Linked DNA regions of Canis lupus familiaris. Each later gene encodes a partner of the first gene's protein in a complex. Links are inferred from orthologs where the notes say so. Each region holds a gene or a part of one and is shown on either strand. Other genes may lie near its edges.

Evidence for each region. The genes of interacting proteins can lie anywhere in the genome.
Region 2: the proteins of NR0B2 (region 1) and NR5A2 are in contact, whole or in part, in a crystal structure (PDB 1YUC), measured with the Homo sapiens proteins. The link is inferred for Canis lupus familiaris from reciprocal best matches to the Homo sapiens genes NR0B2 and NR5A2. Residues at the interface, in NP_068804.1 of Homo sapiens: Arg17, Pro18, Ala19, Ile20, Leu21, Tyr22, Leu24, Leu25, Ser26, Ser27, Ser28; in NP_995582.1 of Homo sapiens: Phe354, Val357, Arg361, Phe366, Val371, Asp372, Gln374, Met375, Leu378, Gln379, Asn529, Asn530, Leu531, Glu534, Met535.
Region 3: the proteins of NR0B2 (region 1) and NR5A1 are in contact, whole or in part, in a crystal structure (PDB 1YMT), measured with the Mus musculus proteins. The link is inferred for Canis lupus familiaris from reciprocal best matches to the Homo sapiens genes NR0B2 and NR5A1. Residues at the interface, in NP_035980.1 of Mus musculus: Thr19, Ile20, Leu21, Tyr22, Leu24, Leu25, Ser26; in NP_001303616.1 of Mus musculus: Ile275, Val278, Arg282, Phe287, Val292, Gln295, Met296, Leu299, Gln300, Asn450, Leu452, Glu455, Met456.

Annotation. Positions count from the first base shown.
Region 1 is NC_049223.1:72,629,530-72,635,488, forward strand, and holds NR0B2 (nuclear receptor subfamily 0 group B member 2), read left to right. Parts: upstream 1-2,371; 5' UTR 2,372-2,433; coding exon 2,434-2,974; intron 2,975-3,755; coding exon 3,756-4,054; 3' UTR 4,055-4,396; downstream 4,397-5,959. UniProt on the Homo sapiens protein: Transcriptional regulator that acts as a negative regulator of receptor-dependent signaling pathways. Specifically inhibits transactivation of the nuclear receptor with which it interacts.
Region 2 is NC_049228.1:2,806,939-2,812,592, reverse strand, and holds part of NR5A2 (nuclear receptor subfamily 5 group A member 2), read left to right. Parts: intron 1-1,302; exon of another isoform or gene 1,303-1,406; intron 1,407-2,519; coding exon 2,520-2,638; intron 2,639-4,192; coding exon 4,193-4,334; intron 4,335-5,654. UniProt on the Homo sapiens protein: Orphan nuclear receptor that binds DNA as a monomer to the 5'-TCAAGGCCA-3' sequence and controls expression of target genes: regulates key biological processes, such as early embryonic development, cholesterol and bile acid synthesis pathways, as well as liver and pancreas morphogenesis.
Region 3 is NC_049230.1:58,557,216-58,562,869, forward strand, and holds part of NR5A1 (steroidogenic factor 1), read left to right. Parts: intron 1-1,712; coding exon 1,713-1,832; intron 1,833-3,444; exon of another isoform or gene 3,445-3,457; coding exon 3,458-3,605; exon of another isoform or gene 3,606-5,178; coding exon of another isoform or gene 5,179-5,231; intron 5,232-5,572; coding exon of another isoform or gene 5,573-5,654. Other genes in the region: uncharacterized protein LOC102151918, read right to left, coding at 5,179-5,231, 5,573-5,654. UniProt on the Homo sapiens protein: Transcriptional activator. Essential for sexual differentiation and formation of the primary steroidogenic tissues. Binds to the Ad4 site found in the promoter region of steroidogenic P450 genes such as CYP11A, CYP11B and CYP21B.

The sequences.
Region 1 (5,959 bases):
TTTCTATTCCTAAAGAGGGACCTCCAAATTTTATAGGCTTCAGTCCCCATAAAGCCATTATCCACTATTGGCCTTTCTTGTACCCTTTAAAGATGAGGAAACTGAGACACAGAAATATAAAGTGACTCACCCAATGTCACTAAGTGATGAAGCAGGATTTGTTTTTTGTTTTTTTAAGATTTTATTTATTTATTCATGAGAGAGACACAGAGAGAGAGAGAGAGAGAAAGAGAGGCAGAGACACAGGCAGAGGGAAAAGCAGGCTCCATGCAGGGAGCCTGACGTGGGACTCGATCGCTGGTCTCCAGGATCAGGTCCTGGGCTGAAAGCAGCACTAAACCACTGAGCCCCCCCGGCTGCCCGGATGAAGCAGGATTTGAAGCCAGGAAGTTTGACTCCAGAGTCCCCTTCCAGGGGAGGGGCACTGAGGACTCGGTGAGATGAAAAGAACTTTACAAATGTGGGGATTAAGATTATTCACAATTAGAATAAAAATGCACACTTGTCTGCTGGAGTTTAGGTTCCTCAGGCAGAGGAAAGGGAGGAGCAAAGTCCTCCTACTGTATGCCAGAAACTGCTTGGAATTTCACATCCAGGACTTCACTTTTTTATTGTCCCAGATTCCCAGATGAAGCTCCTGAGGCCTACAGGGATCAGCCCAAGGTCACACAACTGGAAAATGATAGAGCCAGGAGCAAGTGCCAGGGATGGTGACGGCTGCCCAATAGTGTGCTGGCAGAAGGCTTGCCAAGCTGGGTTTGCCAAGGTTCATGGACATGGCACAGCCCAGGACCTTCCCACCCTCTCTCACACCCCGTGCCCCACCATCCTGAGACAGATGCCCAGGACAGAGTTGCCATGTGGCTGGCGGCAGCGCAACATTTCTACCCAGATCGTAAGTAGGCAACATTGTTGACCAGGCAGCTGCAAGGTGGGGACCCAGGTAGCCACCAGCTCTGGGAAACAGGTCACACAGCTTGGGACTGCACCATCAGGAGAGTGGGTCCAGGGGAGCAAGTAAGGACTTTAGAGTCAGACAGATCTGGGCTCTGTCTCCTCTTACTGGTGTGACCTGTTGGGGCCAGGCGGGAAGGGAAACTCCTCAAGATGGCGGATACGCCAAAATGGCTGGGGTTCCTGTCACCACCTCCACTTGGGACGCCAATGGACCAATGACCTGCTGACAGCTTGAGCAGACCCTTACACCTCTCCTTTGGACTTCCCCAACCGAACCCAATGCCCTTCAAACCCCAGAGGAGGAAGTCACCTTTGACTGGTCGAATTGCAATCCTTCCTTTGCATAGTGAGGGTCACTCTGACTGGTTGGATTGCAATCCTTCCTTTGCATATGAGCCAACCAATAGGAAACCGTTCTGCCTTACAACGTTATGTAAACCCCCTACCACCTTGTCTTGGCGCGACTTCCTCGACTCACTCTCTTTCCCCCGTGAGTCGTGGAACCTCGCCCGAGGGTGCCTGCAATAAAATCTGTTCTTGGACCCTCGCTTGCCTTGGCGGTCTCATTTCCATCTAGTTACTAAAAAACTTAACATGACCTTGGGCAAGTCACTTCACCTCTTTCAGTTTCAAAAAGTAAGAATTTTGCCTCATGGGGAAGCTCTGAGTATTAGAATGGAAAGTGCCTAGCACACAGTAGGTGCTCAATAAATAGCAGCCAAACTTTATTCTCATTCTGTGAGGGCTTCTCAGCAGAGACAGCCTTTTGGGAACTTTAGAAATCCAGGCTAAGGAGAGAGAAGTTCTTAGGTACCTTATTTCTGGAGGGGCCCCAGAACTGAGTCGGGAGAGGGAGGCCTCCTGGCCTGCACAGTGGGCAAAGTCCTTCCAGCCCCCCAGGGTCCTGGCTCCGTTCCCGCAGCCTGTTCCTTACCAACAACAGGAGCAGAGCCCCAAGGTTAGGCAAACAAGTCCCTGATAAGGCACTTCCAGGTTGGGCCTTGCATTCAAGGCTCGTCCAGCTCCGGGGCTGGCCTCCCAGCTTAGCGCCAGTCTTGCAGGCACCAATAGGGACACCTGCAATGGCCACCTGCTGATTGTGCACCTGAGGCCTTGGTGCCTCGGTACAGCCTGGGTTAATGACCCTGTTTATCCACTTGAGTCATCTGATAAGGGGCAGCCGGGCCAGCGGGCAGGCAGCCTTGTGCCCTGCACAGGCTGCTTCATTGACTGAAGTGATATCAGGGCCACGTGGAACTCCCAAAGCCCCCTCCCCCGCCACTTCCCCACCAATCCTGCAGGGTCAGTGCGTGTTTTTTTTTTTCAATGAACATGACTTCTGGAGTCAAGGTTGTCAGGCCGTCCCTCCTGCCCCCACCCACCGTCCCTCCCACTGGGGGAATATAAATAGCACCCAGCACACAGCAGAGGGCAGAAGCGGGAGAGCTGGGAGGAAGAAGGAGCAGATCCCCAACCATGAGCTCCAGCCAGCCAGGGACCTGCCCGTGTCAGGGTGCTGCAGGCCGCCCAGCCATTCTCTATGCACTTCTGAGCCCCAGCCTCACGGCCAGGCCCCCAGTGCCCCCGGTTCAGAGTCGCTGCTTGTGCAGACAGCACCGGCCCGTCCGGCTGTGTGCCCCGCATCGCACCTGCCGGGAGGCCTTGGATGTTCTGGCCAGGACAGTAGTCTTCCTCAAGAACCTGCCGTCCTTCTGCCAGCTGCCCCCTCAAGATCAGCAGCTGCTGCTGCGGGTCTGCTGGGGCCCCCTCTTCCTGCTGGGGTTGGCCCAAGACACTGTGACTTTCGAGGTGGCTGAGGCGCCGGTTCCCAGCATACTCAAGAAGATCTTGCTGGAGGAGCCCAGTAGTGGTGCACACAGCGGCCAGCTGCCCGATCGGCCCCAGCCCTCACTGGCTGCCGTACAGTGGCTTCAGTGCTGCCTGGAGTCCTTCTGGAGCCTGGAGCTGGGCCCCAAGGAATACGCCTACCTGAAAGAGACCATCCTCTTCAATCCTGGTGAGCTTCCAGACATTCCTGGATGGGGACCCAGGCAGGGAAGGCATCTTCTAAGGGCTTGACACCCGTTTTCTCTTTGGGTCCTCATTATCCCCAAAAGTCACCTCCCAGAGAGGTTAAGTGTTTTGCTGAAGGTCACACAGCCTCGGTAGGGGCAAAGCAGGGATGGGAACTCAGGTTTATTCCCTCCAGAGACTGGTCCATGCCACTCTGCCTAAGAAACTTGCCCTGACTGTCAGGGAAGGTGAGCAGACACAACTCTGCCTCTGTCACAGGTAAAACCCTGTGGGTTCAGAAAGACCCCATGGAGAAGAATGAAAATGTGAGATGAGAATTCCTCATCAAAAAGCCCTCGTAGAATGCATAAATGATGGTAATTAATTATAGTGATAGTAATGAATATTCATATTACATTTACCATATATTAGGCCCAATTATAAGGGTTTTGAATATACTAGCTGACTTAAACTTCATAACATGCCTAGGAGATAGGTATTATTATCCCCATTTTACAGATGAGAAAACTGAGGCACAGATATTAACATATCTGAGGTCATACAGCCAGTGAGTGACAGCATGGGATTCAAACCCGGGCTGCCTGGCTCTTAACCATTACTCTGGGCTGCCCCATAAATGGATGGATAAATAAAGTGATAAACACATAAATGGAGGAGGTAGTAATGGGGCCTCAAAGGCCAAGCCAGTGACCTCCGGTCTTGGGCCAATATTGCTGCCTGGGAGTGGGGTACTCACCCGCCCTCTTCACCCTCTCTGCCCACAGGCTTGCCAGGCCTCCACGCCTCCTCCCACATCGGACACCTGCAGGAAGAGGCTCATCATGCGCTATGTGAGGCCCTGGAGCCCTGGTGCCCAGCAGGCCAAGGCCGCTTGGCCCGTGTCCTCCTCACAGCCTCCACCCTCAAGTCCATCCCGCCCAGCCTCCTTGGGGACCTCTTCTTCCGCCCTATTGTTGGAGACATTGACATCGCTGGCCTCCTTGAGGACATGCTTTTGTTGAGCCAACCTGTTCCAGCCCAGGCAGAGATCAAGTGGAGGTTGGGCAAAGGCTGGCAGCACTGATTTGGCCCAGCTGTCCCCAGGGCTACCTGTTGCCCCCAGAGGGAGCAAGTTTGTACAGGCAGCACTCAGCCTCCCTGGAACAAGCCTGTCCTGCCCCAGAGAGATGGGCTAGGGGCACCCCCCACCTCACTCACCACACGGCCCCCACTGGCCTTTCTTGGTTTGACATGGCGCTCCAGCTGTCTGGAACTGGAGTGGTCCTCTGGCTTCTGGGCTAAGACTCCTGACCCCTTCTGAGATGGGGATGGCAGTTAGGTTGCTCAATGGGACAAGTCCTACTGACTTTGTACAGAAATGATTTAAGTTATTGGTTTTTGTAATAAAAGGCATGATACCCTTGGAGCCTGACACTGTAATTTGTACATGGAAGGGACTGTCCCACCTCCAGGGCCCACTCTGCCACTATCAGGAGTTCAGGAGGAAGGAATCATAAGGAGTGCTGGAGCCAGCCCTCAGGGAACTGGGATATTAATTTTTCAGGGCAGGATGATTATTTCATCTTGAGGGATGAGATTTATTTTGCACAGGGACTAGGATCAGTTCAGGCCCCCTTACTTCCTTGCCTTTATCTTTAGGGCTGAGAGTGTCTCTTCTTGATCCCCTTGTGGGGATCGCTAACCCCTCTCTTGGCTTCTGAGCCATACAGGCTCCCTCTCACCTCAACAAAAGTCAGATCACAGCCAGTAAGGAATATGAAGCAGCCCATTCTCAAATTTAAACAGGCAAGGTCAAGGTCACGGGAATTTCTGCAGTTTGGGATCATTCACTTGCCCATTCCTGCAGATGACAGTAGAAGACAGTCCACTGCTGTCCCAATGGGAGGGGCAAGGGAACCCAGGGCTGGCCCCACACAGCTGCCTGGAGCCCAAGGCCCACTGAGGTCTAGCTACCACAATGGCTGTTAAGAGTCTGAGACTCTTCCATGGTAGTTGGTTCACAGCGACTGCCCTGAGTCCCCCCAAGTCCCCTCCCATGGCCTCTCTGTCCCGGCCCTTCACCTGGAATCCATCCTCATTGGCCAACACCTAGAGAGGTGATGGCTGGTATAGCCATGGCCTCCAGCACTGCTCCATTCAGAGCATGGCTGGTGTCTGTTCTGATTGGTCAATGTCTGTGGCTCACTGTTTGTTAAATATTTTGAATATCACACAGGTTCGGGTGACTGACCTGTAAGCAGCAGGGAATGATAACGACACACATGCCTATAGGATCCCCCAGCAAGCCTCCCCCTTCCTTTAGCAATAAGGCTTGTCCTTACCAGTCCCACCCCCTTTGCCATCAGTTTGGATTCTCTTCATGGGGCCAAGTTAATTATTGCTTAATGAGAGGTCATTCGCTCAGGAACAACAGTTGAAGAGCTGCCATTCAGGCCTCTCCCGAAGGCCCCCAGGATAGGACCACAGTTGAACCAGCCATATGCCCATTATGGGCACCCAGTGCCAGCAGAAAGGGCAACCCTGTCCCTTAACCAATCACCTGCTCACCACTCAGACACCCAGAGTGACAGAAACATACAGCTCACACCCCACAACAAAGACACACAACTCAGACCTACAACTCTTACACACATGCACACTAACATATACAAATCAGAGATACCTACACAGACCCTTAAAACAGACCCACCATCTACCCACACACAGCATGGAAATGCACAGCCAAGACACACTCGGTGACATACAGTAGACCCAAACACATGACAGCAGAGACAGCCCCAGAGCCAGATGCTCACACATCCATCCCTATGCTTCAGGGTGGGGCACACAGTATGGAGATACCTTCACACTGGGACATGTTCTCCATTTTCTGTATGTCACAGGAGAAAGAAAAATGGCCCCCAAAGTAAACACACCTATATCTGTACATCTCTTAGGTCGACCCAGAGCCTGCTAATCCCGGCCAAAC
Region 2 (5,654 bases), on another chromosome or scaffold:
CTTGCAAAGTCCGGGAGGGGCGTTCTGGACGCGACCTCCCGCCCCCAGGCAGCCAGGTGGCCTTCCGCGGTGCCCGGGCGCGGGACGAGGCAGCGGACGCTCGCTCAGCTCCGGGTTCGAAAACGGAGTGGGGAGGGAGGGCCGGGCGCGCCTGCCTCTGGGCCCCGCGGCCTGCACCCCGAGAGTGTCTGGGGACGCGGCCGTCACCCTGGCTCTGGCCTCCGCCGGGGACGCGCCCTGGTCCGAGCAGGAGGAGGACCCGCCACTGGGTTTCGGGACAGCGGAGCGCGCGCTGCTGGGGCGGGTTTCCCCGCTTGCCTCTCCGCGGCCTTGGCTTTACGAGGCCCCCCGTGTCCCCCAGTTCCTTAATTCAGGGACTCCTTTGCCCTGACGGATTCCGGGTACAGCACCTGGGAAACCGAAAGGTGCCCGGGTCTTGCACAGCGGCGAGTGCCCAGCCAGCCCCCCGGACTCTGTCTTTGTCCCAGAGGGTCCCCCGCCTCCAGGCCCGGTCCTTTTGGGGGTTGGATCCCCGCGGTGGGCACCACATCCTCCTGCACACGTTTGCCTCGCTGTGCCCCGTAGGTGCGAAGTTAGGAGTTTACTTTGTTGGGCGAAGGGGGAATAGAAAAGGACACAGAGTGCAGTTTTTCCCCCCAAGCCTAACACACGCAAGTTTGGGGGAGAGCTGGGGCTGCTCACCGAGTTCTGGAACCCTCAGCTCCTCCAAGCCCCGAGCTGCGCCAGCCCCAGGCGCGACCTCGTAGGGCAGGCTCGGCCGGGAGGACCGCGCCCAGCATCCCCGCACTTGCCTCGTTCGGAGCCCCAAGCGCCTGCTTCCACCGCAACATCTTTCACGGGGGACCCCTCCCCGTGTCCCCAAACTCGGGCTCACTCACGCGGGGTGAAGCCCCAGGCCAGGGCTCCGCGTCTCGGGAAGAGGCGTCTGGACTCGGCCGGTCGGTGCGCGACCTCAGCCTCCCGGTGGTGCCGGTGACCTCGCCTCCCCCGGGGCCCCTTCCGGAGGCCTGCAGAATCCATGAAGTGAAAAAGAACTTTATTATTATTTAAAGAAAAAAAGAAAAAAGGCACAGAAAAAGAAGGCGTCCTGGGCAAAGAGGCCGCATTACGGTGATGGAGTGGCCGGGAACTTCGGGGATGCGGTGGGGGCCACTTCTCTCTTTCCTTTTTGGTAAACAAATCAGAGGAAACTTCTGTCCGGCCGTCGGCTCCCCCTCCCCCCGGCCCCCCTCCGCCCCGCCCCCTGCAAATGCCACTGATTAACTTAAGCTGGGCCGTGCGTGTGTGCCTGTGTGTCGCCGAGCGAGGAGCGAGGGGCGAGAGGCGAGTGCACCCCGGGCTTCGCGGGACGGTGGCGGGGCGCGCGGACCTGCCCCAAGCCGCAGGTGCCTGCCGTCCGCGCTCCCAGACGGGGCCCCCGTGGGTCCCAGGAAGGGAATGGGGCGGGTGTTGGCCTGGGGTCTCCCGGCCACTGTCCTGGCCGCGCGGCTTACCCATCTTTCAGCTGCAAGGGCGCCTTGGCAGGGCTGCGTCCGGCGGAAGGCGGGCGCTGGGTCCCCTCCGCGGGCCGCGCGCGCGTCCGGAGGCCCCACCGCTGCGTAGCAGGGGTCTCGAGGTGTCGCCGGTTTGCACTGCTGATCCGCACCGTGGGAACTCTATCGCAGGGCCTGACTTGAGGGCGACGCAGGACCTGTCTACTTTGCACCAGACCCTCCTGTGCATCCTTCTCTTTTTTTCTCTGTCTTCCGGGCGCCCTCCCTTCTTCTCCTCCTTTATCATTATCCTTTTTTACAGATTTTCAAATGTGGAGAGATGAAAGTATGCAGAACAGCAGCCCTGTCCATGCGGAGCTGAAGGTTTCAATTAATCCAGCAGATTGGAACGTAGGGAGCGGCGGGCTGTGGTTCCAGGGCGGCCGCTGCAGGGAGGCAGGCGCCCGGGGCTTCAGGGCGCGCGGCGAGGCTTTGCAGGTCGCAGCCGCGGGCCTGCTGAGCCAGGGCTGGCAGCCTCGGACCCCCCCGCAGGGCCGGAGCGGGTGTGCCCGTTTCCCTCCTCCGGGCGCGGGGGACACTTTGGGGTCTTGACTTCAGGAGGCTTTAAGGGGAGTTCCAGGTTGTTCCCTTTCTGCCTTTTCGCGTTTCCACCCTGATTTGCTGCCTGGGGCGGTTGTGAAAGAAGGCGTTCCACAGTGGTCAGTTTGAAATTCTTAACAACAGAAGTTGGAATTCTTTTTAAGTTTAAAAAAAAAAAAAAAAAAAAACAAAAAGAGAGAGAAGGAAGTGAAGTGCACGCTGGTGGAGTCCAAAAGATGTTTTATGTTCATTGCATAAAAATAGTTTTTCAGGGTGCCTAGGTGTTTTAAAAATATGTGTTTTTTATTTTATATTGTACCTGGGATGTTTGCCCACCAGTTAATTAACCAAAATGCTTTCTCACTGCAGGATTAAAACCTACCTAGTGAATTAATTAGCTATGTGTATACATTTCTTTTGTTTCAGTGTCTCAGTTTAAAATGGTGAATTACTCTTACGATGAAGATCTTGAAGAGCTCTGTCCGGTGTGTGGAGATAAAGTGTCTGGATACCATTATGGGCTCCTCACCTGTGAAAGCTGCAAGGTTTGCTTACACGTTGCTATGTGACAAATAGAAGGTTCAAAACCAAAATAAACCATTGGATTACTTTTTAGACCTAAATTTAGGCTGTCTTTTTTTGGACTCAATTAAAAATGAGAGAAAGAGTTAGTCTTAGGGAGATGATGTTTTGAAATATGTGTTTGATTTAATTCCAAAGGCAAAAAAAAAAAAATGTATGCTGTTTAGAAAACTTTGCCAGTCTCGTGGCTTTAAAATATTTTATGGTAGTAAAGTGATGTATCTGTAGAAAGACTTCTCTTTCTAACAGTCCTAAATATTGATTTTGCTTGACTTATATATATTTAAAGCACCGTTGTTCTTGAGAGGGAACATGACAAAGTATTTCCTAAATATATTTTAACTTCAGGGTATTCTGTGCTGCGAGTCTAAACATTTTTTATCCACAGATAAAAGTCTAAATTCTCAACCGTGTGATTTTTATCCTGATTTATTCCAAAAACAGTTTTTAAGATTTTTTGAAATTATATCATAAAGAATAAGAATCCACATCTCAGTTTATAGTAAGAGTGGCTTTCATAAATAAATTATATGACCTATTTAAATGCAAGAAGTTTTAACATGTAAAATGTACTTATATTGTTCATAATAATCTCAACCATAGATCAAGAATTTATCTTAGATCTTTTTGATATATTCCCAGTCAACTTGATACTTGGTATTTCTCAACATTTTTTAAAGTAGAAAGCTCAATTACAAATACTTAAACCATCGCCAGGAAAAATCCCTTCATTCTCTGTAACAAAGTAAGATCGTTTCACTTTATGGCTAGTAGGATAAACATAAAGAATGTACCATCCTGGTAAAGCTGTTATTGTATTATGAAGCTAACAAAATTTGTTTTTGATAAATTCTTTTGGGTGCAATACAAGAAAAGCACACTGCTAAAATTTAGCTCTCTGCTACACATGCTTTTCTTTGCCATTAGTTTCAACTTTTTTTTTTTTTTTACAGAGTTACAACTTGAATGTATTCCAATGGAATTATGAACACTTTCCCATTTTACTCTTTAAATCTTTTTGCTTTTAACATATCTAGTGCTGACATTTGTAAAAAAAAAAAAAAAAAAAAAAAAATCTGGGGTGTTTTGCTATTCAGATTTTCCACTGGCATTTTACAATGGTTTGCCACTAAAATTCTATCACACTGCTTACAAACAGTACAGATCTCCATGAGCAACTTTCTGGAATATGAAGTTAATAAGAAAACAGATTTAAAAAGATACTGGTTAATATAGAATGTGTTTTTCTCTGACTGTTGAGATGAAATGGTATGTATCCAAATCTTCCTAAGATTTGTTGTAATTCTAGGAATATAACTCCAGTACTAGAAAAATCTCCACTTTGGCCCAGTGCTGTTTTGGAGGGTTGGTCTTGTTAAAGTGTAAGACAAACCACAGAGCCACGGAAGGGCTCATTGGTTCAATGAAAAGATTTATTGGTGATTTCCTTAAAATGAAACAATGGAAGAGACGGTGTTAGATTTATAATATGTCTCACTATTTTCTCTGTTTTGTAGGGATTTTTTAAGCGAACAGTCCAAAATAATAAAAGGTACACATGTATAGAAAACCAGAACTGCCAAATTGATAAAACACAGAGAAAGCGTTGTCCTTACTGTCGATTTCAAAAATGTCTAAGTGTTGGAATGAAACTAGAAGGTAAGTTTCTTCCAAAGACTACTGCCTGTTAAAATTCTCCAAGGACATAGGATTTAAAATAACATTGTACTTCCAATATGGTAACATTATTTTCCTAGTCTTTTAACACCATGGACAATAATGTAAGATATTTTTTTATGTTTTGTCAGCAGAACAGTCTGAGGATCATTTAAACACTGGTGAAGTCTACTAGGAAAAAAACTTATAAATATTGGAGTTTCCCTTCCCCCACCTTTAAAAAATTTTTAGTTTGGGGAGCAGATGGATTTGACACTAAAAAGGCCTGGTTAGGGATCCCTGGGTGGCTCAGCGGTTGAGCGCCTGCCTTCGGCCCAGGGTGTGATCCTGGAGTCCCAGGATCGAGTCCCACATCGGTCTCCCTGCATGTAGCCTGCTTCTCCGCCTCTCTCTGTCTCTCTGTGTCTTTCATGAATAAATGAATAAAATCTTTAAAAAAATAAAAAGGCCTGGTTAGATAAAAACAAGACTAAAGCTATTCAACTGAGAACAAATTTTTAAAATTTGCAAAACTTAAAAAAAAATACGTGACGTTTTCAAACCAAGGATGTTCTAGTAAAAAATCTAGTAGAAGTCTGATTTTAATCCTTTAAATTCTTCCCTTGTCACAATTGTTACTATTAATTTCATGACTCCTGGGCAAGAATTACAGCCTTTCATTGTGAAATGGAGTCTCTTGTGTGGAGAGTATCATTTTTGATAATGTGGGAAAACACGTTTCTTTTATTTTTTTTTTTTAAGATAATGACGAAAGCTGCAAAATGAAGTTGAAAAGTAGGAAACATGAAAAATAATGAGCTATTAAATCAGTAACATTGGTTTGACAGGAATAAGATAGTGGTTCCCCAAAAGCCATGTTAAATTTTATGTTGTGAGAGTAGAACTGGTACTTACAATGTACAGATTGGCAGGGAGTAAAGTTATTATGTGATCACTGTAAATAATCTGTAGTTCATGGACTATTATGGTGTGTTGCTGTTTTTTAGCCTCCAGCCTACTGACTTTCCACAGATCAACTCTAGTGCAAATAAAAAATAATCAAGGATACACATCACTTATTTGCCACATACAAGCGTGCATTTTATTTGATCATTGAGGCACAGGCTATTTTTGTTTGGAGCCTTCCTGTTATGTGGCTCTCAGACTTGATAGAAATGCTCAAAAGATTTCCGGCAAATCTGCCGAAGTGCTTGTAGATTCTTTCCCAATATAAGTAGCCACTTTGGTTATGATTAGAACTGTTAACTCTGTCTTGCTTTAGGAAGAGATTGAGAACAAGATCAAGAAAGAAATGCTCATTAA
Region 3 (5,654 bases), on another chromosome or scaffold:
CCCTGGTGGTTTAGAGCATGGATCTGGAACCAGACAGAGCAGTGTGACCTTGAGCAAGTTACCTGACTATCCTGGGTGTCTTCTCTCCATAGACTGGGAATAACAGCCGTACTGTGGAGCTGCAGTGCAACAACTAGTAGTTATCATAGTTTGAATTTATCACGGGGCAGGGCCCGGGAAGGTGCCCAGGAAATGCCTGCTGTGTAGACGGTGGCCTGCTAATGAGCCGCAGACACTGAGAGGGGCTGGTGTCTGTATCACGTCTCCCTAAGATGATCTGCAGTGCCCCGTGTGGTTCTGAACGCCTGGGAGAGCGCAGTATTTGCCACCATAGAGGGTTGTGGACTGAGAAGGCCAGCTGTGCCTCTGGCCTGGCTCTACCTCTTTGTGATCCCAGGAGAGTCCTTCACTTTCTCTGGGCAGTAGATTTTCATTTAAAAAATAGCAGTTTAAAAAAAAAAATAGCAGTTTGGGCCAGGGGCATGATCCCTGAGGGCCGTTTAGGCTCTGGCATCCCATGGTCCTGAGTCCCACTCACCATTGTCACGAGTGTCCATTCTTGCCATGCTAGTGACCCTCCAGGGTGGAAGGACACCCCACACAGAGGCAGTCCCTGTCCTTGCACTGGGTGCCCTGACTACAGCCTGGGTATTCAGAACCCGCCTCTTTCTTTGTTTTGTTTCTGCTTCAGACGAACCATTGCCAGCCACCTGCTCATTCTGGGTTGGACCACAGGCCAGGAGGGCCCTCCTTTCTTTCCATGAGCCTGAAAGCTCTGTATAAGGCCCAGGGGAAGCCCTGTGTTTGCTCTTCATGACTTGTTTTTTGAGCTATTGAGGCTGCTGGAGATGTGACTACAGGCCAAATGAGCATAAGATTAAAATTAATAATAATCTTCCCTCACATTTAATTTTTTTTTTTAATTTATGATAGTTACAGAGAGAGAGAGAGAGAGGCAGAGACACAGGCAGAGGGAGAAGCAGGCTCCATGCACCGGGAGCCCGACGTGGGATTCGATCCCGGGTCTCCAGGATCGCGTCCTGGGCCAAAGGCAGGCTCCAAACCGCTGCGCCACCCAGGGATCCCTCTTCCCTCACATTTAAAGGAGTTCTTCACAAACTACTTCCATGAACATTATCCACTAATATTTATCAAGTGCTCAGTATGTGCCAAACCCCCTTCTGATGCTTTGCCCCCTCCACAGAGGAGAAAACCGAGGCTCAGAAGGCTTTAGAAATTGCTTCAGGTCACACAGCTTGTCGGAGGAGAGCGAGGGCCCGAAGCCAAGCCTGGCTGAGTTCTGAGCACTTCCACTGGATCTTTTCTTTCTATCTATCTATTTATTTACTTGATCTCTGCTACACTTTGACAAAGTAGGCAGATAGGCAAAAAGGGCATCAAGAGGTGAAGTGGTGGGATCCCTGGGTGGCGCAGCGGTTTGGCGCCTGCCTTTGGCCCAGGGCGCGATCCTGGAGACCCGGGATCGAATCCCACGTCGGGCTCCCGGTGCGTGGAGCCTGCTTCTCCCTCTGCCTGTGTCTCTGCCTCTCTCTCTCTCTCTCTCTCTCTCTGTGCCTATCATAAATTAAAAAAAACAAAAGGAGGTGAAGTGGCTTGCTCAGGTCACATATCCAAGTGAGCCTCTGAATCGTGAGTTGGGAGAGGGACGGACCTGGCTGGATCCCGGACCCACACATGCCTCTTCCCTCCAGGTGGCTGACCAGATGACACTGCTGCAGAACTGCTGGAGTGAGCTGCTGGTGTTTGACCACATCTACCGCCAGATCCAACATGGCAAGGATGGCAGCATCCTGCTGGTCACCGGGCAGGAGGTGACCAGACCCTATTGTGCCCTGTGCCTTGTCCTAAAGCATATTTCCAGAATTCTGAGCCCAGAATTGGGGGCTGGCTCAGCCCTTCCTCAATTGCCTGACCTCCCTCTGACCAGCTGAGTTCCTGGCCTTGACAGGAACCAGCCCCTGGGAAGCAGCTTAGGGATGTGGGGAGGGTCAGTGAGGCTCTTGAAGAAGGTGGGGGGTCTTGAAAGAACAAATAGGAGTTGGTCAGGTAGTAAAAGGTAGTAAAAGGGGGGGGGCAGTTCCACCCCACCAGAGCAGAGGGGACAACATGGGTGAAGGTGCACAGGGTGTTTAGGACAGCACCAGGGGCTGCTGGTACATGGGCACTAATATGTAGATTTGGGGGGCCAGGAGCCCTGTGAGGTAAGAAGGAAGGCTGGAGGTAGGCCCTAAATCCTGAATGAATAAAGGAGCAAGTGAAGGAATTTGCACCCCCCAGCAGGGAATTTGGGGCACTAGGATACGAGCTGGGAACTCCTGGGATCAAGCAGGGAGCAACAGTAGCTTTAAGTGAGGAAAGGCTCACTCAGGTTGTACTTGAGGAAGCACACCATGGGGGCAAAATGGGGGGTGAAGAAGTCAAGGCCACGGTGGAATGCTGGGAACCTGGGAGAAGGACCCCCAACTGGTGGGAGGAGGTGTGGGAGACATGGAGGGGAGGAGGGAGAAAAAGAAGAGGCTGATGCCAGGGTCGAGGCTGGTGGAAGGAGCATCGCTCCCAAGGGGGAGTCACGAGGAAGAGTGGTTGGCAGGCCCTGTGGGGGTGGAGGTTGGAGGCCGAGGCCCTGCTCCCCATCCCGTCTCCAACCCGGGCCCTTGGTCCTCATGCTCAGTTCTTATCTTGGGGGTCTCAGGACATCCAGGGCAGGGGACTGCTGGTCTCCAGGGTGTGACTTGGAGACCACCTGTGAATGCAGATAGGAGAGCCTGAGGTATGAAAGCGTGTTGGTATTGGCCTATGTCATCACGCAGGCTGGAGTCTCCGAGACCATGGGGATGTCCTGTGTGTGTGTGTGTGTGTGTGTGTGCACGTGCATACCTGTATTTTATTGTACAGATATCTCCACACATTGTAAGTGTGTGGTGGTGAGATCTCCCTGCCACCTTGTGTGGGAACTCATACATGGGTGCCTGTCCCATTACCTTGTGATATGACCATATGAGGGCGTGTGTGTACGTGCGTTCACGTTATGAAATGGGTGGACTGCCCTATGAGTGTGTGTGAATGTGAGCCGAGGTGTGACCGCATCCTCAGTCTGAGTGTCCACGTGTGGGTGTGTGGGGACCTGGGCAGTCATGTGGCTGTGTCCATGTATGTCCAGGCACACCTGCCCCGACCCTGCTCCACAACACCCAGCATGACGTGGTGTTTGCTCCCTGTACCACACAAAATGCAAAAGCCACTTGTACCACCGAGCATAAGGAGCTCTGAGCATGTGGGGCCCATGCTGTGGGGTTTGGAGGGTTTCTGGGGTGTGAGGAGATGCTGCCCCCATCTGGCGCAGCTCCAAGGATGGGCACCCCAACCCCCAGCCCCTGACCCCCCCACTCCGGGCCCTCTGCTGGGTGCTCCCTGACCCTGACATCCGCCTGTGCAGGTGGAGATGAGCACGGTGGCGGCCCAGGCGGGCTCCCTGCTGCACAGCCTGGTCCTGCGGGCGCAGGAGCTGGTGCTGCAGCTGCACGCTCTGCAGCTGGACCGCCAGGAGTTTGTCTGCCTCAAATTCCTCATCCTCTTCAGCCTCGGTGAGTGGGCCTGGCCCGGCCTGGGGCGGCGAGGGGGCAAGGTGGGTGGCGGGCCCGGCACCCAGAGGCTGACGTGAGGTTCTGCCCTAGGGTGGGGGCTTTGGTGGCGCAGGGACCCCTCCTACGATGAGTAAGGGTCTAAAGGGACCTGGCCCAGGCCTGGCTCTTCAAATGGAAGCTGTTTCCTCTCGGGGCCTCAGTTTCTCGGTTTGGGAGTACAGACGACCAAGACAGTGCCTAAGATTTGCCCTTTGTGGGACAAGGACTCCTGATAATTTGGTCAATTCCTGGCTGGAAGCCCTAAAAGAGCGCCCAGGCCACCTCTAGACAGACACCTGTGGGGTTTCAGGCTCTCTGTTCCCTGGCTCCTATCCTGGGGGCCTTGTTTTCCCGGTTCCCTGCTTGAGGAGATGGTGGGGGGGGGCCCAGAACCTTTACCCATTCATTTGTTCACTCACTCATGTATTCACTCTACAACCTCTTACTGAGCATCTGTGCTCTGCAAGGCCCTAGAGACACAAGGCAAACAGGATAAGTCCCACACCTGGATTGTCATGGAGCTGACCTTCTCTCAGGAGAAAGACAAGCATGATGTCATTAGTCGGCTATAGAGATGGATGAAATGATTACCGACACGCATGGCCTAGAATCCTGTGATGAGTGCTAAAGAGGAAAGTAACCCAGGGAGGTGGCAGCCCCCGAGCCGGGGGTCTCCCTCTCATTGCCCTCCTGACCCCGCAGCCTCCACCCTCCTCGGGGCTCTCCCCGGCCGGCCTCCTGTCCTCCCTCACCTAGCAAGCCACCTCCGGTGCCTCCTGGCTGTGTCCAGCAACGCTGTGAACACAGACGAGCCCCTGCTGTCAGGTGGCTCCCAGCCCAGTAGAGGCCTTCATCAGGGGCGGGGACAGAGAGATGGGGAACCCAGAGTGGGGAGCAAGGGCTCTGCCTGGAAGGCTTCCTGGAAGAGGGAATTTTGAATGGGGTCTTGGAAGAGGAGTAGGAGTTTGCGGGAGGGATATATCTTCCAGCAGAAGTGCGGATGGGATGGAAGGTCAGAACAGGGGGCAGGATTCAGATGTCATCTTGGTGGCTGCTGACATCATAGCCCCAGTCTGGCAAGGGAGTGCCTGCCCAAGGGTGGGGAGAGCTGGGCAGAGAGGGGTAACTGATGAAGTGTGGCTTGTGGGAAGCCCAGTCCTCGGGCTATGGCCACAGGGGCTGGTCTCCTGACTCTGGCCCCGCAGCCTGGTAGCTGGAGGGCTTCTGTGCAAGGCTGCAGGGCTTGGTAGGGGACAACCATGGTGCGGGGCGGGGGCAGAATCCAGGGCAGCCAGTTAGGAGCGGTGGCCTGGAGCCTGTGGAGGGGCCTCGGGGGCCCGGGCCAGGCTGGCTGCAGCTGGGGGAGATGCCGTTCCTTCTGGCCTCTGGTGGCTCCCCTGGTCTTTGTGAGCTGCCAAGCTCTGGGAACTGGCTTTGGCCAGTGGTTGTGTGCGGTTTGGGGTGTGGAGACTCCAGGAGTTCTGTGAATCTTTGTGCCTTTGCGTCGGTGCCTTTGTTTTCACGCACGTGCAGGCTATGAACTCTCATGGGCTGGCGGCTTCTTACACATCGTGTTGTATAAAGGATCTGTAATCGGAGAGTTAGAGGAGATTTGGAGATAGGAGAGATTTGGAGCGCGTATAGAATTAGGAGTGTGGTGTCTGTGGTGGTCTGGGTGATGTGTGAAGCAATAGTTCTTGACCCGACCACCATCAAGAGGCCTTCAGGAGGTCTAGAGGAGGGGTGGGTGGATGGTGGGCTGCCAGCCACCAGTCTTCTTGGCCAGGCCTCCCTGTGAAGCGGGTGCCAGGTCTTGGCTTTCCAGACCCCCCTAGGGCCCGAGGCATACCCCTGCAGCCCCCGCCTCTCTTCCCAACAGGGTCCCGGGTGCTGGGGACTGCCAGGGTCAGCACACCTCTGGCCCTCACCAGGCCATAAATCCAGGGCTCCTCCTTGTATGGAGTGTAAGGACGGCAAAGCAGAGCCCGGCCCTCTTCTCCCGGTCTGGCC